2 linked regions of the Alligator mississippiensis genome follow. The protein of the gene in region 1 interacts with the protein of each later gene in a biochemical or structural test. Links are inferred from orthologs where the notes say so. Each region holds a gene or a part of one and is shown in the gene's direction. Other genes may lie near its edges.

Region 1 (9,689 bases):
CTGCGTGGGGCGGCGCCGGGGCAGGTGGGCACCTCCGCGCCCCGCCCCGCCCCGCCCCGCCCCGCAGCAGGGGCCCGCCGAGCCCGTGCGGGACTTCCCTGCGCCGCTCTGCCCAGGCCCGGCCGCGCCAAGGGCTCGGCGGCCCGGCCTGGTGCGGGAGAGGCGGGGGCGGACCCGCGTGGGAATGCCGGCCGGCCGGCCCGGCCCGCGTGCTGTGCACGCACGCACGGGTGCCAGCCCCCGGGGCTCCGCCACTTGTTTGCCCCGGCTCGAGCCTGTTGCCAGCCCGTGTCCGTGCCCGCGAAGCCTTGGGCACCGTAGCCAAGGGGGTGCTCCCCGGGGCGAAGGTCACCGCCTGCCCGTGGCCACCAGCCTTCGGCTGCGTTGCTCAAGAGCAGCTTCCCGGCCGCGCCGGGCTGGGCCAGGTGGGGCGCGCCAGGGCTACCGAGCGCAGCGTGCCAGCTGGCTCTTGCCAGGCTGAACGGGGCAGCCCGTGCGGGGGGAGCAGGGGGCGAGGCAGCCCCCGGGAATGGGAACGCAGGTGCTGCTGCCGTCCCGGAGCCACGCGTTGCTGCACCAGGTGTGCAGGGTGCTTGGGTGGTGGGAGGCCTCACGGGTGCAGGGGCTGCCACATTCCCCCCATGTCCCTGGCCCCGCAGCGGGCCCGGCTGCCTTTTCCCAGGCTCCAGGTGAGAGCCGGGGCCTGCTGTCCCCTCCTCTCTGCTAGCGCTGTGCAATCGCGCCCGTCCTGCCCGGCTGCTCCGGATACGCCTCGGAGCCGGTGAGCACCACGTGACAGCAGGGTGAGGCAGGGAGAGGCGCTGGGTGCTGGGAGCGCTTGGCTCCAGCCAAAGACAGTCTCTCCAGTCCGCAGGCTCGGCAAGAGCGCTGGGGACAACGTCTCCTGGAGGTAGGCTTTTCTTGTGGCTGTGACACAGTTTCCCCAGGGAGTCGGGGCTCCCGCGCAGCCCTGGGCGTAGGTACTTCCAGCCAGCTGCTTTGCAGGGGACGCTTAGCCCGTGGCCTGGTGACAGCTCTCTGGGAGCCCTGGTGCTGTGCCCTTGCCTGGCAGTGCAGCTGGATGCTGTGGCATCCTAGAGGCCTGTGGCCTGGTGCGTGCCGTGGTCCTGGCCGGCCGCCCCTCCCTTCTGTGGCCCTGCGTGGGGTGGGCACGGGTTCCCCCCGTGCTGTGCGGTGTCTGTCCGCACACCCGCCTGGCAGCGAGCCTGGGCTCCTCCTGCACCTGCCGCTCGCTGCCCTGGTATAGAAAAGGGCTGGCTCTGGGGTGGGAGTGTGTGGCCTGTGCTGTTAATTGGCGTGTCTGGCTGATTAGCCATGCAGATGGCAGCGCTTGCTCTCCCCTGCTGCCGGGGACACAAAGGGATGGAGCGTGCGCGGGAGAGGCCTGTCCTGCCAGCATCCCGGTCCATCTGTGCCCCCTGCACGGGGGAAACCTGGCTCCTGGAGGGCCGGTGGTGCCCCTGACTGCTGTCCGCGGTTTGTGGGGCAGGAGCTGGGCCGCCCTGGGTCGAGACCCCAGCTTCCCTGCTGTTCCCTTGCAGCTCGTGCCCTATCTGGCCTAGGATGGGTGTCTCCTTGGTGAGGGCAAGGCCTGAACCCTTTGGGCCCATGGAGGGGCAGTGCCTTGTGCTGGGCTCAGGCCCGGGTTCATTGCGGTCGTGCCCGGGGGCATTGAGGCACCCGGCGAGAGGGCAGAGAAGTGGGCAGCGGTCGGCACTGGCAGAGAGGGCCTGTGCCATCCAGGCACTGCGGCACATCCACCAGCCCCTGGCCTGCTGCAGCAGGGTCCCGGGTGGGAGACGTGGGGCGGCTCAGCATCTCGTTATCCCCCCGGCAGCGGGCGCTGGTTGCAGCGAGGGCCGCACGTGCCCGGCACAGTTGTTGCCTCCGCCTGTTTGGAGGCCTGGCAGTTTCCCTGCCTGCGGAGCACCAGGGGCCTGCCCTGCCCGAGTCCCACGGCCCTGACTGGGATAAGGAGGGGGAGGAACGCAGGGCAGCTGCTGGGGCAAGGCTGGCAGGGCACGGGCTGGGAGCCAGGAGCTGCAGCAAAGCTGGGGCTGGTGTGGACGTGTGTGGGCCTTGCCGAGTGCTTCCTGCTCCGGCCTCGGGCTGGGCCAAGGGGAGTGTCCTGCTGCTGAGCACGTCCCCGGGGAGGAGCCGGCTGCAGGCGGGTGGCAGGGTGCACCTGGCCGTATGGGAGAGGCCAGCAGCAGTGCCGGCTGCAAAGCAGGCTGGGAAAGGGCACAGGTACACGCGTGCAAGGGACCGGTGCCCGGCACCGCTGCTTCCGTCCCTGCCTCTCCGGGCAGGTCAGTGCCCATCCCTCCGCAGGGACAGTCCTGGCCTGGGGGCTGGGAGCGAAGGACGGTGGCGTGGGCATGCCCCAGGAAGCGGCAGCGTGGCCCAGGCTGCTCCAGTCGCAGCGAGATGGGGCTTAGCGCCCGCGGCGCAGCTCTGACTTGCTGCGGTGCAGACTCACGGCAGCTCCTGCGGAGTAGCGGGTGCCCAGCAGGAGCCTCCATGGGGACCTGATTGTTGGCCCAGGCCTGCAGCCGTTGCGCCCAGTCTCCTCCTGCCAGCAGCCAGGCCCGGGTGCCCTGGGTCCCGTCGGCGGGTGCACAGCTGGCAGCGAAACCGGGTGCCAGGAGCTCCTGGCAGGGGAGCAGGTTTTTCTCCTGACTCAGGTTCCCACCTCCCCGCCCACGTGCTCCCTGCCCGGGAGGGAGTCGCCTGCGTGCGGCACAGCCCGCGTCTGCCGGGCCTGGGGGAGCAGGTAGGAGCCGGCGGATCTGACACCCGTAGCGCTCTGCTCCCTCCGGGCCTTGGGAGCCAGAGGGAAATAGGCCCGGTGCAGCGGAGGAGCAGGCAGCCAGGCACCTGGGATCTGCGGGCTCTGCCCCTTCCCCCTCTGGGCCTCAGCGTGTCCATCTGCAGAATGGACGCAAGCGGTGCTGTGTGCATGAGCAGGACAAGCCGCTGCCCTGCCCTGCATCCGGAGATGGTGCCGTTGCTCCCGGCTCTCCTGCCCTTTCCGCTGGGCCGTCGCTGACCTCTGCTTCCCAGGGCTCTCGCTCAGGGCGGGTGCACGGCACGTGGCCTCTGAAAGGGCCCTGGGCTGAGAGCCAGCAGCACCGCTCCCGAGCACTTCCCTGCCTGTCCCGGGCACTGTGGGCTGGAGCAGCCTGGCTTCCTGCGAGTTACATGCAGCCGGGGTCCTGCCAGGGCCTCCATCCGGGTTGTGACTTGTTTGTGGAAGCAAACGGTCCCGCGGAGCCGCCTGGCGCCTCTGCCGCAGGGCGGGCCCGGGGAGCTGCTGCCCAGCCGGTGCCCATGCTCGGGGGTCTGCGTCCTGTCTTGGTGCCTCCAGCCCATCCGCTTGCCTCGCATGTGCGAGGTCCTGGGGGCACCGGCACATGCCGTCCCTCGTGGCCTGGCCAGGAGCTGTGTAGCGGAGGCAGGTGGGGATGTGTCCCTGGCCAGGTCTTTTGCCCCGTTGCTGGGATGGGCACGGGGATGTGGCTGCCTGCCTCTCCCCCCGCCTCCCTCCAGACTGGGGCGGCCCCGGGATGAAAGAGCCACTGTTCTGGAGGTCACTCGGGGCGTCACGGGTTCTGCGCGGCTCCAGCTAATTTTAGCCGCCCTGCAGCGTCGTGCTTTCCCAGGGTCCCACCACTTGCTGTCCTAATGACGGTGATTGCTGGCCGGGGTCCCGCGCTCCTCCCTGCTGCCCTGCGCCCACCCGCCCTTTTCCCAGGGGCAAGCGCGGAGGCACCATGGGGCCAGACCAGGCCCTGACAGAGGCCTCTGTTCCCTGGAACAAGGAGCTTTTTGAGCAAGTGGGCGCGAGACCCTTGCTGCAGGGCCTCGCCATGGCTCTGCAGGGCGCCCGTGCAGCCGGGAGCGCGAGGATGTGCTGGGCGAGACCTGCGCCCCGACGTAGCAGCAGGGCCGGGCAGCACTTCCATCGGAGGCTGCATAATCCTGCTCCGGCGCTTGCTCGGGGTGGCCGTGAGGGGGTCATTTGCTGGGATCCATCCTGGACGGGCCTCACTTGTGGGTGGGTGCCCGAGCTGGTAGCTCCAGGTTGCTGGTTCTGGCTCCGGGAGAGGCCGGGGGTGTCCGTCTGTCCGTCCATTGCTAACCCGGGGTCTCCCGCATGTCTCTTGCAGAGCCCCAGTGGCACGGGAGCTGCCATCCGCCTCCTGCCGCGTGGAGCCGCGCGCTCCCCGGGTGCCGCCCCGCAGCCATGTTCAACCTGATGAAGAAGGACAAGGAGAGGGATGGGTCGCGCAAGGAGAAGAAGGACAAGAAGGAGAAGAAGGAGCGGATGTCGGCGGCCGAGCTGCGGAGCCTGGAAGAGATGAGCCTGCGCCGCGGCTTCTTCAACCTCAACCGGGGCTCCAAGCGGGAGTCGCGGGCGCGCCTGGAGATCTCCCACCCCATCCCCATCAAGGTGGCCAGCGGCTCCGACTTGCACCTCACCGACATCGAGGCCGACGGGCACCGCGGCAGCGTGGTGCTGGACTCGGGCCAGCTCAGCACGGCCAGCTCCAGCGACGACCTCAAGGTGGACGATGGCAACTTCAAGGGCTCGGTGCTGCAGCGGGCCGCCAAGTTCGGCTCGCTGGCCAAGCAGAACTCGCAGATGATCGTCAAGCGCTTCTCCTTTTCCCAGCGGAGCCGCGACGAGAGCGCGTCCGAGACCTCCACGCCCTCCGAGCACTCGGCCGCCCCCTCCCCGCAGGTGGAGGCCCGGACGCTGGAGATGCAGCTGGCCAAGCAGGGCGCGCCCCCGGGCCACCCGCGGCCCCCGTCCTCCTCCTCCTCCTCCTCCTCCTTGGCCCCGCGCTCCCGGGTGCCCGAGCTCGTTGGCAAGCGGTTCGCGGCCGAGCTGCGGCTGCCGGCCGTGGTGCCCCCCCAGCCCGCGGCGCCCCGGGAGCTGGAGCTGCAGCGGCGCAACACGGGCGACTTCGGCTTCTCGTTGCGCCGCACCACCCTGCTGGACCGGGCGCCCGACGGGCAGGTGTACCGGCGCGTGGTGCACTTCGCCGAGCCGGGCGCCGGCACCAAGGACCTGGCGCTGGGGCTGGTGCCGGGCGACCGGCTGGTGGAGATCAACGGCCGCAATGTGGAGAGCAAGTCCCGGGACGAGATCGTGGAGATGATCCGGCAGTCGGGCGACACGGTGCGGCTGAAGGTGCAGCCTATCCTGGAGCTGAGCGAGCTGAGCTGCTGCTGGCTGCGGGGCAGCGCGGGGCCGCGCAGAGCCGCTGTCGACGTGAGTACCCGCCGTGCCCGTGCCCGGCCGCGCGCCCAGCCTGAGCCCCGCGAGCTCCGTCACCGGCGGTGGGGGGGGCTGTGGGTGACGAGGGCACAGCCGCAACCAGAGGGAGGGTTCGCGGGGCCGGTTTGGAAGCCGTGCCCGGGGCTGGCGCTGCCGGCAGCGTGGTCGCTCGCTCCGGCTGCTGGTGAACTCGTGCGTCTGCTTGGGGCCTTCTGGGTCTCTCCCGTGGAAAGTGGGATTTAGAGACCCAAAGCCTGGGTAGGGGCAGACTTCATCTTTTCCCTGGCGCAGCAGTGCCCGAGGTGCATTCGGGAGACCTGGGGTGCGTATCCTCTGGGTGCAGGGTCCCCGGTGTGACCCGGCTTGCCCTGGACGGGTGGTGGGAGGCTCGCCGGAGTTTCAGGAGCTGGTTTGTGGCTGTGAGCCGGAGCGCGTCTGCAGCTGCAGACACCCGGGGCCTGACCGGCGGGGTCCCGGCGGGCCGGCCGGCCTGGCTCAGGGTCTGCAGCCTCCAGCTGCAAAACCATCTGTGCAAATGTCTGTGTGCATGCATCTGTGTGGGCCTGTGCAGTGCCTGCAGCCCCATGCACGTCCCCAAGCCCGTCTGTGGGGCATATCTGTCTGACGCCATCCAGTCCCGCTGTGCAAGGGGCTCGACTCCCTGGTGCTGGAGCCGTCTGGGAGGTGGGGTGCCGGGCGCTCCCTTTGTGAGCCCAGCACGGCCTGGCTGGGTCAGGCCGGAGACCCGTGGGGGCTGCCAAGGCCAGGGAGCTGCCGTCCCCGCTACTTATCTGCTGGCAAGGCTGAGGCAGCCCCATGCTCTTCCCCCCCGGCTCGTACGTCCCAGCGCCTGTGCACCCGTGCATTGGTGCCAGTGGAGCTGGTGCTGGCGGGTGCAATGAGGTGGCACAAACTGGCCCCCCGCCGTGCCGGCCCCGGGGGAGGGCAGGGCTAGGAGCTCCGAGTCAGGGGCCAGGATGCCCTGATGAGGACGGTGCCTGCGGGCACCGGCTCACCCGCATGCACCTCTGCAGCCGGGCCATGCACCCGCTCTCGGGGGCAGGTGGCTGTGCCAGGGCAGCGAGGGGCTTTGGGCCACGGGTGCTGGTGCAGAGCCCTGGAGGGACGCGCGCGGTGTCCGCGTGCAGCTGTCGGTGGAGGGCCCCGTCCCTCCTGCCGCGTGGGGCCCGGAGCAGCATGGGGCTCCCCGCGTGCTCCGCCTTGGCGCCTGGCTGGCTCGCACACTGCCCCGGGGCCCGGGAGAGCCTGGGGTGCTGCGCCCGCCCCGGGGCTTGGCGGGGCCTGCAGGCCTGTGGCAGCTCCGCCCCGGCTCCCCCGGCCCCGCCAGGCTCCCTGGAATGTTTCTGTTCCTAATTTAAATTAAAACGCTGCTTTTTCTGTGTCGAGCAGGAAATGATCTACATATTTTGGGCGCTTGCTTTGGAAACCCCTCCTCAGCGCGGAGCGGCGGGGGGGGAACTTGTCGCTGTGCGTGCGGGGCCAAGCGTGGCTCCTACAGTGAAGACCCTGCGGCCACCTGCTCATCCCAGGCCAGCACCAGCCGGTGGGCATGGGGCACACGAGGGCAGTGCCGCTGTGGTGCAGGTGTGCAGGCCGTGCGGTGCTTGGGTCACTGCGTGGTGGGGTGGGGTGTGCGCGCTCTGTTTCATCCAGCGCTGGCAAGGCAGGAGCCGCTTGGGAGCCCCCGGGAATCCTCCCCAAGGTGCCCGTGGTCTGGGCAGCATCACCATGCCAGGCCGGGCCCAGCGTGGCCCCCGTGCCGGGTGTCGGGGGTCCATCCTGCATCAAACCAGCTGGGCCCGTGGCACCGAGGCAGGATGCGTGGCCTTGACCGGTCACGGGCAGCCTGCTCCCTGCCACCTGGCCCTGAGCTGCCTCGGGACGTGGCAGGGGGGCGCCTGGATGGGTCACCCCCACCCCACCTCGTCTCCGGCTTCGGGGCAGGTGGACGGGTCTGCCTGGCGCCCGGAGTGGCAGCGTCTCCGGCGCTGAGGGCGGCCACGCTGGAGCCACTCGGGGCCGTGGCCGCGGGACCTTGCCATGGCAGCGAGGCCGAGGCCCTGGCCCAGCCGGGCTGGCTCCGCTCCAGGCCTGCGAGGGTTTGTTTACCAGGGACATTCCTCTGGCCGGACCCGGCGTGCGCAGGCCTGCTCCGGCCGGCCGAGGCATGCCAGAAACGCGCCGCGCCGCTCCAGACCACAGCTATGCCGCGCTCGGGCCAGCAAGACCCCGCGCGACCCCGTGCGCCCTTTGGCCCAACCTGGCCCTTTCGCCCGGGGAGGTGTCGGGGTGCCCTGCGGAGGGCGGGCGGCTGCAGAGCTCAGGGCTTGGCACGCGGGTGCTTGCTGGGTGCTGCAGCCGCTAAGATCCCAGAGCGGGGCCGGAGGTGGGGTCCTCTGCCCGGGAGCAGCAGGCCCGGGGCGGGAGCCGGCGCGTGTCAGGCCAGGGAAGGTGCAGCCACGGCCTCTCGCTGGGGCTGGGGGAGGAATGAGAGGAATCTGCTGGTGGAGCAGAAATGCTTGCTGCGAGCCGAGAGCAGGGTCCAGCCGGCGAGTGCCGCATTCCTGAGCCCCGGGCAGGGAGCAGGGACCCCCGGGGGCATGGAAAGGGCCAGGCGCTGCCCTTCCTGGGTGCGCCGGCGCCAGGGCCCAGCAGCTTCCGGCAGCCCCAGGGCTGCTCTGCCTGCCTGGGCATCGCTCGCCTCCCCCAGCTGCTCCGCAGCGCTGGGGGCAAGGAGAGCGGCTGCGCCCGGCGTGAAGGTCAGGGAGCAATCGTGCCAGCGCCTGCCTCCTGGGCTCCGGCACCAGCTGCGGGGCTGAGCTGGCGGCCGGTGGCAGGGGGTGGTGGGACCCTCTCTGCCTGTGCACCGGACCCCGCAGCAGCTCTGCCCCACTCTGGGTTTCGCCACCCGCGGTGCTCCCCGCCCTGCAGCCCAGGGCGCATCCAGCTCTGCAGACTCATGCCGGTATCGGTGGGGCGGGCGGCACCGGCATCCTCGCCCGCGCCTGCCCTCCTCCCGGCGCCCCAGGCTGCAGCCGGGCTGGATTCCTGCGCCGTGCATCACGCCCCGTCTGTGGGGCGGCGAAGCCGGTGCCCTGCCCCTGGGTGTGCCGCACGGCTCCTCCGTGGGGCTGGCACCCAGCCGTGCCACGTCTGGGCTGGGAGCAGGGGCCAGCGTGGCCCCGGCATGGGGCAGTGAGCGGGGGGTCTCGGCGTGGCTTCGTGCTTCGCCTGGCGGTGCTGGTCTGCAAAGGGTGCGTGCCCGGGGCGTGGAGCAGGCTGGGCTCGAGCGCCCGGGTGGTCACGGGGCCTGGCTCCAGAGCTCTGTCCGGCTTCCTGCCGTGCTCCTGGCTATTGTGCGCCTGGCCCCCGGCAGCCTGCACGCTGCTCCGCAGACCTTTGCCCTCTTCCCCGTTTCCAGGAAGCAGGGAGGGCTGGAGCGTGGCCTGTGCTAACGAGCTGCGCCGGCTCCGTCCCCAGGGGCCGCGTAGGAATCTGCCTGTGTGTTGTCTCGTGTCCTGGCGGGGCTGGAGCGGGCGGCCAGGGCCCCCTGCCTTGGCTGGGGTCCACGGGCGTGCGCACGGGGATGTGCCCTGTGGGACTGCTTTGGGGGAAACTGGGGCAGCAGGGGCGGGAGTCGGGGGCTGGGGGCCGCCTGGGAGTGGGCAGAGCCCCACGCTGGGTCGTCGGCAGGTCTTGCGGCTCCTCTGACCGCGTGGCCCCCGGGGGCCCGTGACCTTTGGGCGCTTCTGCAGGCGGCCAGGGATGCTCGTGCACTTGCGCACCCCCTCGGGCACCGGTGCTCCTGGCGCGTGCCCGCGCGGGGTCACGGGACACGGCTGTTCCCGTAAGCGCCGGAGGGAGCGTGCGGGCTGCGCTCTGGCCCTGGGCCAGCCGCACAAGAGCCTCTTCCCGTCAGGTCTGACCCGGAGCCATCGCTGGGAGCGTGGAGCTAGCGCCAGCCCAGCCACGGCTCCAGCTCCTGCTCCGAGGAAACCCCCGGCCTGTCCCTGCTGCCTCGGCTCCACCTGGCAGCCCGGGAGCGTTGGACTGGGACGTGCATTGGGGGAGCCGGCCCCTCGCTTTCATGCAGGCGCTGCCAGGCCTTTCCAGCCTGCTCGGTGCCGTACCCAGCTGCCCGGGGGCTGCGGTGCTCGTGGCGTCGGTGCTGCCGCGCTGCGAGGCAGGGGGTGTTTGTGCGCTCTTCCTGGGGTGCAGGCTGGTCTGGGGGGAAGCTGGGACACCCTCCACATGTCACCCCAGCCCGCGTGTACCACTCCACATCCTGCTTCCCCGTGTCCTTCATTTTGTTTCCCCTCATTGCCAAGGGAATGGGCATACGTTTATGCCGGAGGTTTGCAAA
Region 2 (9,689 bases), on another chromosome or scaffold:
TGGGAGGTTGCTCTGATGTGTTGTAATTAGAGTGCTTTGGAGCAGACTCCATGAATTAATCAATCAAGTCTTCTGAAGCATGCTAATTAGTGCACTCTAACCAGCTTCTGTGTCTTGTGTATCAGCTTCCCTGTGCTTGAAAATGGCAGTGGGGGAGATTTAAAGTTTGTACATGCTTTAAAGCGTCCCTGTAACAGGTTGCCCTCCCCAGCACCATCTTCCCTGTTAATCCGCACTTTACATGAGGCGCCCTTGGAGACCTCTTTAAGGCTCTTATGTCCTGCTCTTCACTCACCTGCCATGTCTTGAAGGAAATTTATTATTATGCCGATGTTCTTGTGAGTGGGAGACTGCCTATTGTATTTCGTATGTTGGGGCCTTTCACCTCCACGGGCCTTGACCCCAGTCTCTCTCTAGCTAGGCTTCCCTGTCTAAACCTACCAAACAGGGTTTGACTCTGAGGCTCTAGCTTTTTTTGGCATCTTGGGGCCCATGGCCCTCTTTTCTGCTCTAATCTGAAGCCCAGCCTCCTTGGACCAGAGGCCCAGCCACTGGCTCTACAGCCAGGGGGTGGCAAGTTCAAAGCCAGGGAACAGCCCTGAGCTCATATCATCTTAGCCCGCCAATAAAAAAAGCCCCAAAATTGCACCTCAGGTGCACCAGACCACCTTGGCCTCTTAAGATTGTGCTTTCTGGCACCAGGGTCTGTGCACCCCAAAAAGCCATGCCCTCACTGGTGCCAGGATCTCCACTCTGTAGTGGGCCTCCAGATGAGGCCTCCTCCTTCCCCTAATAGCTTCACCCAAACCACTGGTGTTATTCAATAGTGAGAAGAAATATGAACAGTCCCACCTGTGGGCAATAACTGCCACCAAAAAAAATGTGATTAAAGAAAGCAGTATGGTATGCCAGCTTACATTTACAAAGGGTTCATACTTCGGCTCCCCACCATCAGCTGCTGTCTCTCCGGGGGCTTCCATAGTTCCCCTCCTCCAGCCTTTAGACCACTCACCAAGCCTCTCCATGGAGCTCTGGGATGCGCTGCTGCCCTTACTGCCACTCTGCCCGGGGTTTTTATAGTCCTGGCTTGCCCCTTCCAGTCAGCTGACTAGCTGGCCAGGCTCAGCATTTAACCCCCCTCCTTACCAGTAGTCTGTGCCCAGAAAGTTCTGGCCTTAAAGGGGTGGACCTGTCTTCTGGTGACAGGGCTAGGGTTCCCTGATACACCCCCCCCCCCCTTCTCTTTCGTCTGGGGTCTTTCCTTCCCCTCTGAACCCTCGACCTGCCTTCTGGTAACAGGGCCAGGGTTCCCTGTTACAGTCCCCCACTGCCATTTTGAAGTGTGGGGACGCTGCTACATGAGATGTTGCAGGCACTTTGATTAGATGGCTCTAATTAAAGTGCCTTCCCCTAACCCCAGAGCATGTGTAAAAATGCCCTAAAGGTTTAGAGGAGGGTAATACAATGCCAAGTTTATTTTCCAAGTTTATAGAAAATATATTCTGTCAAACTAACCTGATATATTTTTGATGATTATAAGATTGGTTGATAAAACTAAAAGACTGCTGAAAGATATTTAACTAGATACTGAATGATATTTTGATTAAGTTGATTTAAAAAAGCAACATGCATATATAAAATGAATTAAAAACAGGGAAAAGTCAGTGAGTGGGTTGTTTCTAATGAGGTGCCACTGGCATCAGTTCCTAGCTCTCTCTGATTTATAATTTCTTCATGGCTCTGGAGGAAACTATCAAATACAAATGACTGATATTATTACACAACTGGCAGAGTGGAAAATGAAGAGGAACAGTCACTGATAGAAGGATCTAGCTCACTTGGTAAACTGAGTACAAGCAACAACCTGTAGACACCTGCTCAATTCATGATTTTGGGCACTGTCTGTGAAATAATAATAAAGGACTTATCTTGTGATAGGCCCATGAAATAGGCCACCTGCTTCCTCGATTTCAGTAGGTCCCTAACAATATGTAATATGAGCAAATACAAAGTTGTATGTCTAGAAATGTAAGTTATGCTACAGGATAGAGGCGTCTATCCTAAGAAACTCTGAACAGTGACTCTTATCCAGGCGCACATCTCTTGGACGGGCCAGCAGGGGCAACCAACACCGGTTCATTAGGGCAGGTCCTTGTCAGACCAACCTGGTGGCCTTCTATGACCAAGTCACAAAAGCCTTGGACGCAGGTGTTGCAGTGGACGTAGTCTTCCTGGACTTTGGGAAGGCCTTCGACACTGTCTCTCACCCCACCCTCATTAAAAAATTAGGCGTCTGTGGTGTCAACAACTACACAGTCAGATGGGTCGCAAATTGGCTGGAGAGCCGCACCCAGAGAGTGGTGGTGGACGGGTCATTTTCGACCTGGAGAGATGTGGGCAGCAGGGTTCCCCAGGGCTTGGTCCTTGGGCCCGCACTGTTCCACATCTTCATTGGCAATTTGGACGAGGGGGTGAAAAGCACCTTGTTCAAGTTCGCAGATGACACTAAGATGTGGGGAGAAGTGAGCACACTAGAAGAGAGGGACAGGCTACAACTAGATCTTGACAGGTTACAGAGGTGGGCGGATGAGAATAGGATGGGTTTCAATACGGACAAGTGCAAGGTATTGCACCTGGGGAGGAAGAACCAGCAGCATACCTACAGGCTGGGGAACTCCCTTCTTGTCAGCACAGAGGCAGAGAAGGATCCTGGTGTCACTATTGATTCGTGGATGAACACGGGCCGCCAATGTGGGGACGTGGTCAGGAAGGCTAACTGCACCTTGTCATGCATCCACAGATGCATCACGAGCAGGTCCAAGGAGGTGATCCTCCCCCTCTGTGCGACATTGGTCAGGCCACAGTTGGAGTACTGCGTCCAGTTTTGAGCGCCGCACTTCAGGAGGGATGTGGACAACATGGAGAGGGTCCAGAGGAGGGTCACTTGCATGATTAGAGGACAGCAGGGCAGGCTCTATGTGGAAAGGCTATGAGACCTAAACCTGTTCAGCCTCTACAAGAGACGGTTGAGAGGGGATCTGGTGGCCATCTATAAACTTACTGGGGGGACCAGCAGGCAATGGGAGAGTCCCTGTTCCCCTGAGCATTACCGGGAGTAACAAGGAACAATGGCCATAAGTTGGCTGAGAGTAGATTCAGACTAGATATCACGAGGCGCTACTTCACAGTCAGGGCAGCTAGGAGCTGGAACCAACTTCCAAGGGAAGTGGTGCTTGCCCCTACCCTGGGGGTCTTCAAAAGGAGGCTAGACAACCACCTAGCTGGGGTTGTTTGACCCCAGCATCCTTTCCTGCCCGTGGCAGGGGGTTGGACTAGATGATCTGCTCAGGTCCCTTCCAACCCCACCAACTATGAAACTATGAAAAGAACTTGTGTCCATGCTGGTAGATAATTAGCTTGAACGTGAACATCCAGTGTGGAAAAAGTGGCCAAAAGAGCTGCTGTGATCCTTGGATGTATAAACAAGAGAAAGATCAAGTAAGAGTTGAGATGTTCTATTCTTTCTGTATTTGGCACTGGTGCCCTTGTTGTGGGAATAATAATTCTTTCATAATTTAAGGTAGACAACGCTCAGAAAATAATCATAAAAATTAGAAGATTAAGAAAGGTACCTCACAGAGTCAAGGAGCTTTAACTGGTTAGCTTTTAAAAAAGGAAAGATCAAGGGGTATTTGTATTGCACCTATGTGAGGAATGCAAGAGCTAAGTACTTTTCCTAACAGAAATTTGATAATAGAGGGCCTGATAAAGTATAACAGGAACAACTGTTGGAATCTGAAGCGACGCAACATTAAAATAGAAACGAAGGTGCAAAGTTTTAATGGTAATTAACCACTGGAGTAAGCTACCAAACTGTGACGGATTTGCTATCGCGGGCATTTTTAAATTGAGATCGGATGCGAGTCTAACGAAGATAGTAGTTTGAACAGGAATTACTTCAGAGAGATCCTGTGGCCTATGTCATGCAGATCCCAATGGCTCACTCTCCTTTTGCAGCTGCACTTGCAAATGTCTTTGGGATGAAGTACAAGAGCTGTGCCGGCTCCCTGCGAGCCCTGTGCTGTTACATTTATCGTTTCCACGCAAGGGTTGAACACCTATTTGAGCTTAGATTAGCAACAGGCGACACGGTCTTCTGGTAGCGCACGAACGACTCGTGGCCCCGGCGGCGGGAGCGGGACCAGGGGTGGGGGACCACACATAGACGCCGCCAGCGGTGGCAAGCCACGACCGCCTGCAGGTGCTGCCCACAGTGTCACGGTGCCTTTTTGTGGTGGGTGCAGCGCCGCGCACCGGGGCGCACGTGCAGCCGTGTGCGTCGCCCTGTCCTAGCGCCACTAGAAACTGTTTGGGATTCTCCGCCGCCGCCGCTAGGCCCTGCGTCCGCCACCTTCCCCTCAGCTGGGTCGTACTCCCACGGGGTGGGTCAACCCTGCCACCCCGTGCAGAGCGGGACGCAGGCGGTCGAGGGTGGCCGTCACACAGCACAGCCTGGTTTTCTGAGACTCTGTCCTCTATCGATGAGCAACCAGACGCCTTTATGCCCCCTATTTTTCTCTTGAAGGGGTCGGGCACTTCATCTGTATTTGAAGGAGTGCCCTGTGGTCCCGCAGGCTTGTGTCCAACCGCGGAGGCCGGCCGCAGCTCCGAGGCAGCCTGCCCCGACCCCCGGGCGCTCCCCCTGGCGGGGCTGCCCCGCGCCTGCGGCCGCGGCCCTTTCCGGCCCCCCCCGGCCGCGCTGCCACATCCTCCGCTGACATCAGCCCGCGCCGCCATATTGGACGAGGCGCCGCCACAGGGGGAGCCGGCCTGGCCCGCGCCCTCCATGCGTCCCCCCGGCCCGCCGCTGCCCCGGGGCCCGTAGCGGAGCCGCCGCGGCGCCCTGCCGCTGCCCAGCGCTCGCCCCCGGCCGCCGCCGCCGCCGCCATGACTTCGCTCACCCAGCGCAGCTCGGGCCTGGTGCAGCGCCGCACCGAGGCCTCCCGCAGCGCCGCCGCCGCCGCCGACAAGGAGCGCGGGGCCGGGCCGGGCGCCGAGGACGAGGGCCGCCGGGACGAGCCGGGCGACGACGAGAAGGGCGACTCCAAGGAGACGCGGCTCACGCTCATGGAGGAGGTGCTGCTGCTGGGCCTCAAGGACCGAGAGGTGCGGCCCGGCCCGGCCCGGCCCGGCGCGGGGAGGGGGGTCCTCGGGAAACGGCTCGGGGCGCCACCGGGGCCCGTCCTGCCCGGGGGTCGGGGGGGGCCCCGGGATCGCTGCTGAGACGCCCGAGATTGCCCCCGGCACCCGTGAGATTATACCCTTCCCCCCCAGTTACCCCTGAGAGTCCCCCTTCCCCCCCAGTTACCCCTGAGAGTCCCCCCTCCCCCCATATTACTCCTGAGATTACCCCACCACCACCTGGGCACCCCTGAGATTTCCCCCCTCCCCCCTCTCCTGGGGGAGCTCCCTGCCAGGTTACCCCTGAGATTTACCCCCCCCCCCGGGAGCTCCCCCCAAGTTACCCCTGAGATTTACCCCCCCCCGGGGAGCTCCCCCCAAGTTACCCCTGAGATTTATCCCACACCCCCGGGGAGCTGCCCCCAGGTTAGCACTGAGATTGCTTCTCCCTGGGCCTGCCCCCCCCTATTCTGCAGACTGGTGTTTTTTTTCCTTCAGTGGAAAAAGCAGCGAAAACAAAGCTGGTGGTTTCTGAGGGGGACTCGAGTCTGAAACAGCCACCCAGCTAGGTCGTGTCCCAGTCTGTCCTCTCCCCGACACCTTGTTTGTTCGTTATTTTGTTTGCCCCGGTTGTGATTTGATTGGGGTGGGCTGAAGATAGAGGGTCTGTGTCCATCCCCTGCCTGCAAATGTCTTTTTCTCCTTTTTAACTTTCTTTTCATACTTTATTTTTTTCTCCCTCCTGGGAGGGAGGGGTGTAGGTACATGGGTCTCGCATCCTGCAGGAAACCCAGTCTCCTGGAGGGGCCCTGATTAGGGGGAGGTGTGTTAAACAGTGGTGCAGGTCTTTCCTTCAGGCAACAGTTTTAATGCTGTCTAGAAATGAAAAGCGTTGCTCCGTTTCTTGAGCTTGGTACCCAAAGCAGGCTCTAAGGCAGGAGGCAGTAATGTTTTGGGGCAGAGTGCCGAAAACCCCACAGTATATACTTGTAAAGTGCTGGGCTGGATTGCCAGGGTAGCTGCAAGGGGCCCGATCCTTCTTGTGTTAGTACAGGCATGGCCCCCTCCCTGCTGTCTGGCCTGAGGTGCCTGTGTACCCGCTGCCAGCAACGAGCCAGTGCAGACCCTGGTGCAGCTGCTTGCAGCTTCCCTTTTGCCCACCATGGGGCCCAAGCTCTTGAAGCAGGCAGTGAGGAGGCTGCAAGCAGCTGCACTGGGGTCCCTGGAGCCCCTGCCCAGCTTTTTGCCAGCAGCAGGTGCGTGGAGGCCTTGGGGCAGACAGTGGGGAAGGGGCCGGGGCTGATTTATCACAAGGATCAGGCCCCTTGTGACTCCTCTGCCATCTGCCTTGAGGGCTGGCGTGCCAAGCAAAATGTCTTCATGTGCCACACTCTGGAACCTGACCTGTGATCTAGGGTGTTTGTTTGGAGTGGGAAGGCATCCCAAAATCATACACATTCATGAGCAAGATCAATGGGAGATTGGATTTTCAGGAGTTTGGCTTGGCTTCATTTAAGCCATACTGTAGTAAACAAACTAATGGTGGGTAGGTTGAGGAGCAGCTTGGTTGATACTCTTTATCTTTAACATGTGTATAGACATTCTGGGTTTTTTTTTTTTTTGCTGTATCCACTTCTTGTTGGAGGCTTATGATAGGCCTCGTTCTTGCCGTCAGACTCCTTGAATGGATATTTGCATCTGCATGAAGTCCCAATAAAATTAGTAGACTCTTCACACTTGCATGTGGATCAACCTGTTGACTCTTGGCAAGTATTGGGGCCTTGTGGCGTGGCCCTTAGCATTTTTGCACATGTTCGTAATGTTACAGGCCTGAGTGGTCTCAGTGAAGTAAGGTTAAGCTTGTGTTTCAGTCTGCTGAGTTGGTTCCTTAGACTTTAAACTCTTGTGGTAGGGACTGTCTTCCTTTGTATGTGGATAACACTTACCATATTTTACGCGTTTGCAGAATATAAAAAAAATACTAATTGAAATCATTTCTGAAATCCTGTTTGTACTGGCATGCATCACATTAGTTTAGTTAAATGATTCTTAAAGGCTGCATATACCCAATAATCTGAGTGCTTTATGTAGAAGAGTTATTTAGATTAGGCCTATATTTAATGTTAAATCTAGTAATGCAGATCTTAATAAAGAGGTGGGCAATTATTTGGGCCCCTGGGCCACACAGGGAGCCCGTTGCAGACTAGGTCAGAGTCCCCTCTTCCCCCCCACCCCCCAGCAGCTCACCAGAGCTCCCTAAGTGGCCCCATCTTGTCCACCTGGCCAGGTGCCCTGACTGCATGGGGCTACCCAGTTTCCATGGAGACCCCCGGGTTTGTGGGACTGGAGCCCAGCAGTGACCAGCTCCATTCACAGACCTGCTGCTCCCTATCTCCCCTACTGCACATCATCTCCAGTGTGTCTCCCGTTGTGTGGCTTCCACCTGGCACTTGCCACCCAATGTGCCCTGCGCAGCCCTGCCCAGCCCCTGCTCTCCCTCCCTGTGGCCCAGGCCCTCTGCTGCTCCCCACCCTTGCAGCAGCTCCCAAGCCCTGACCTGCTTCCAAGCTCCACTTTCACTCAGCCCTTTCTTGCCATCCCTGGCTCCTTCCAGCCATACCCAGGGCTGCAAATGGTGCCAGCTTTGGTTTTTCTCCTGGCTCCATTCGGGCTGAGCTAATGCTCGGCTCTGTGCTGAGAGTCGGGGTGTCTGCAGAAAGAGCCGAGCCCCTGCCAGGATTGCAGCGCTGGTGGGAGCCCCTTGCGTTCTGCTCTCTCTGGGGCCCTTTAGCTCCCAGTGCTCAGTTCTGTCAGCCGCAAAGCCACTGCTTACTGTTTGGGTTTCGTGGGCTGCCACCGCTTAGCTCAGGATCCCAGCTCTGGCCCTGTATGCCTGTCCCATTGCTGCTACTGGTCCCTGTCTGTCCTCAGCCCTATGCTGGCCGGGGCCTGAGGCAGAGCCATGATCTGCTGCCTGCGCACACCTGCAACAGGAGCCAATTCTGTGGTCAGGGGTGTGCGGGCAGTGGATCATGGCTCCGTCCTGGGCCCCAGCTGGGATGCGGATGCAGATGGGCCCTGGTATTGTGCGGAGCCAAGCACTAGCCCAGTCTGAATGGTGCCAGGAGACAGACCTGAGCAGGTGGGCACCATTTGCAGACCCAGGTGTTGCTAGAAGGAGTTGGGGTTGGCAGCGAGGGGCAGAGTGGAAGTGGGAGCTTGGCAATGAGTTGGGGCTCAGGAGGTGGCAGACTTGCTCCAAGGTAGGGAGCAGTGGAGGGCCTGGGCTGTGGGGAGGGTGTGTGTGGGCAGGGCTGCCTGGGGCATACTGGGTGGCAAGTGATGGGCAGGGGCTGCACTGGAGACTGCTCACTAGGGGCAATAGGGAGCAGCATCTCCACAAATGCAGCTGGTCACTGCTGGGCTCCTGTCCCGAGGGGCCTGGTATGGGACCTGCCCTGCAGCCTGTGCTGGGCACCAGTGCTCCCTCCAGTTGCTGGGGCAGGTGGGTGGGAGCAGCTGCCTTGGTGCTGGGGCTTTGGCTTAGAGGCCAGCAGCTGCCTCCACTACCTTGGTGGGTGTGTCTGGCATCGTTGGGCATCCTGGCCCAGGCTGCCCTCTGTGCCTGGGACTGAGGGACTCTCAGCGAGCTGGACAGAATCCCTTGGTAGGCCAGATCCAACTTGTGGACTGTATTTTGCCTGCCCCTGTCTTAATAGCACTTTACAGACAAGAAAATATACATGTAAGCTCTCTGACCAAGTATAAGACAAGACGTACAGAAAGATGGGCTAAGGTAGGGGACATGGATAAGGGGTACTGTACTGTTACCGAGGCTTGTGATGGGGTTGTATGTGTTTGTTTTGGGATATTTTGTGTCTCTTTGTCTCCATAATACTTGGAGCTTTTTGCCTTCATACTGCTTTAAAAACTTCAAAGGAACACTGAAAACTTCAAAAATATTTTCGAAGATGTTTAATGTTGTACTTATTGTTGCTCAGATAACACCTAATTAACAATAGCTATTTTTATTAATCTTTTCCAACTAACTGATTTTATACTTTGAAAGTACACTAGGTAGAGCCAGTTTCAATTTTTTTTCACATTACGTTTGATTTTTCCCCATTGTTTCTAATGGCCTCTCTCAGAAGAAAGGTAGAGAAAAACTTTTTAAGAAGTAGTAAAGTATGATTGTGAAATCATAAAAAGTGGCAGGGAAGTTCAGGAGCAAATTTAGTACTGAAAAGTACTTAAATCATTTGAAATGGACAGCTTGAAATTTTAGTTATACTCTCTTCAGTTTATTACAGTGGTATAAAATCAACTATAAACAAAATAATTCAGTATTAAATTGTAGGAACCTATTCTCATAAAGGCTGTATATTTCTAGCAAGCAAAAGTTATTGGTAATTGGGGATTTAGTATTCAAATTTTAACTAAGGAATAGCTTTAAGGTTCAGAAGACAATGTCTGATGACGGCTATTGGGCTTTTGTGGACAATGGAATA

What was found.
Region 2: the proteins of MYO18A (region 1) and GOLPH3 form a complex in vitro, tested with the Homo sapiens proteins (2 studies listed by IntAct). The link is inferred for Alligator mississippiensis from reciprocal best matches to the Homo sapiens genes MYO18A and GOLPH3.

What each region holds. Positions count from the first base shown.
Region 1 is NC_081837.1:1,346,586-1,356,274, reverse strand, and holds the start of MYO18A (unconventional myosin-XVIIIa), read left to right. Parts: upstream 1-4,192; 5' UTR 4,193-4,267; coding exon 4,268-5,299; intron 5,300-9,689.
Region 2 is NC_081826.1:281,529,738-281,539,426, forward strand, and holds the start of GOLPH3 (Golgi phosphoprotein 3), read left to right. Parts: upstream 1-4,816; 5' UTR 4,817-4,947; coding exon 4,948-5,166; intron 5,167-9,689. UniProt on the Homo sapiens protein: Phosphatidylinositol-4-phosphate-binding protein that links Golgi membranes to the cytoskeleton and may participate in the tensile force required for vesicle budding from the Golgi.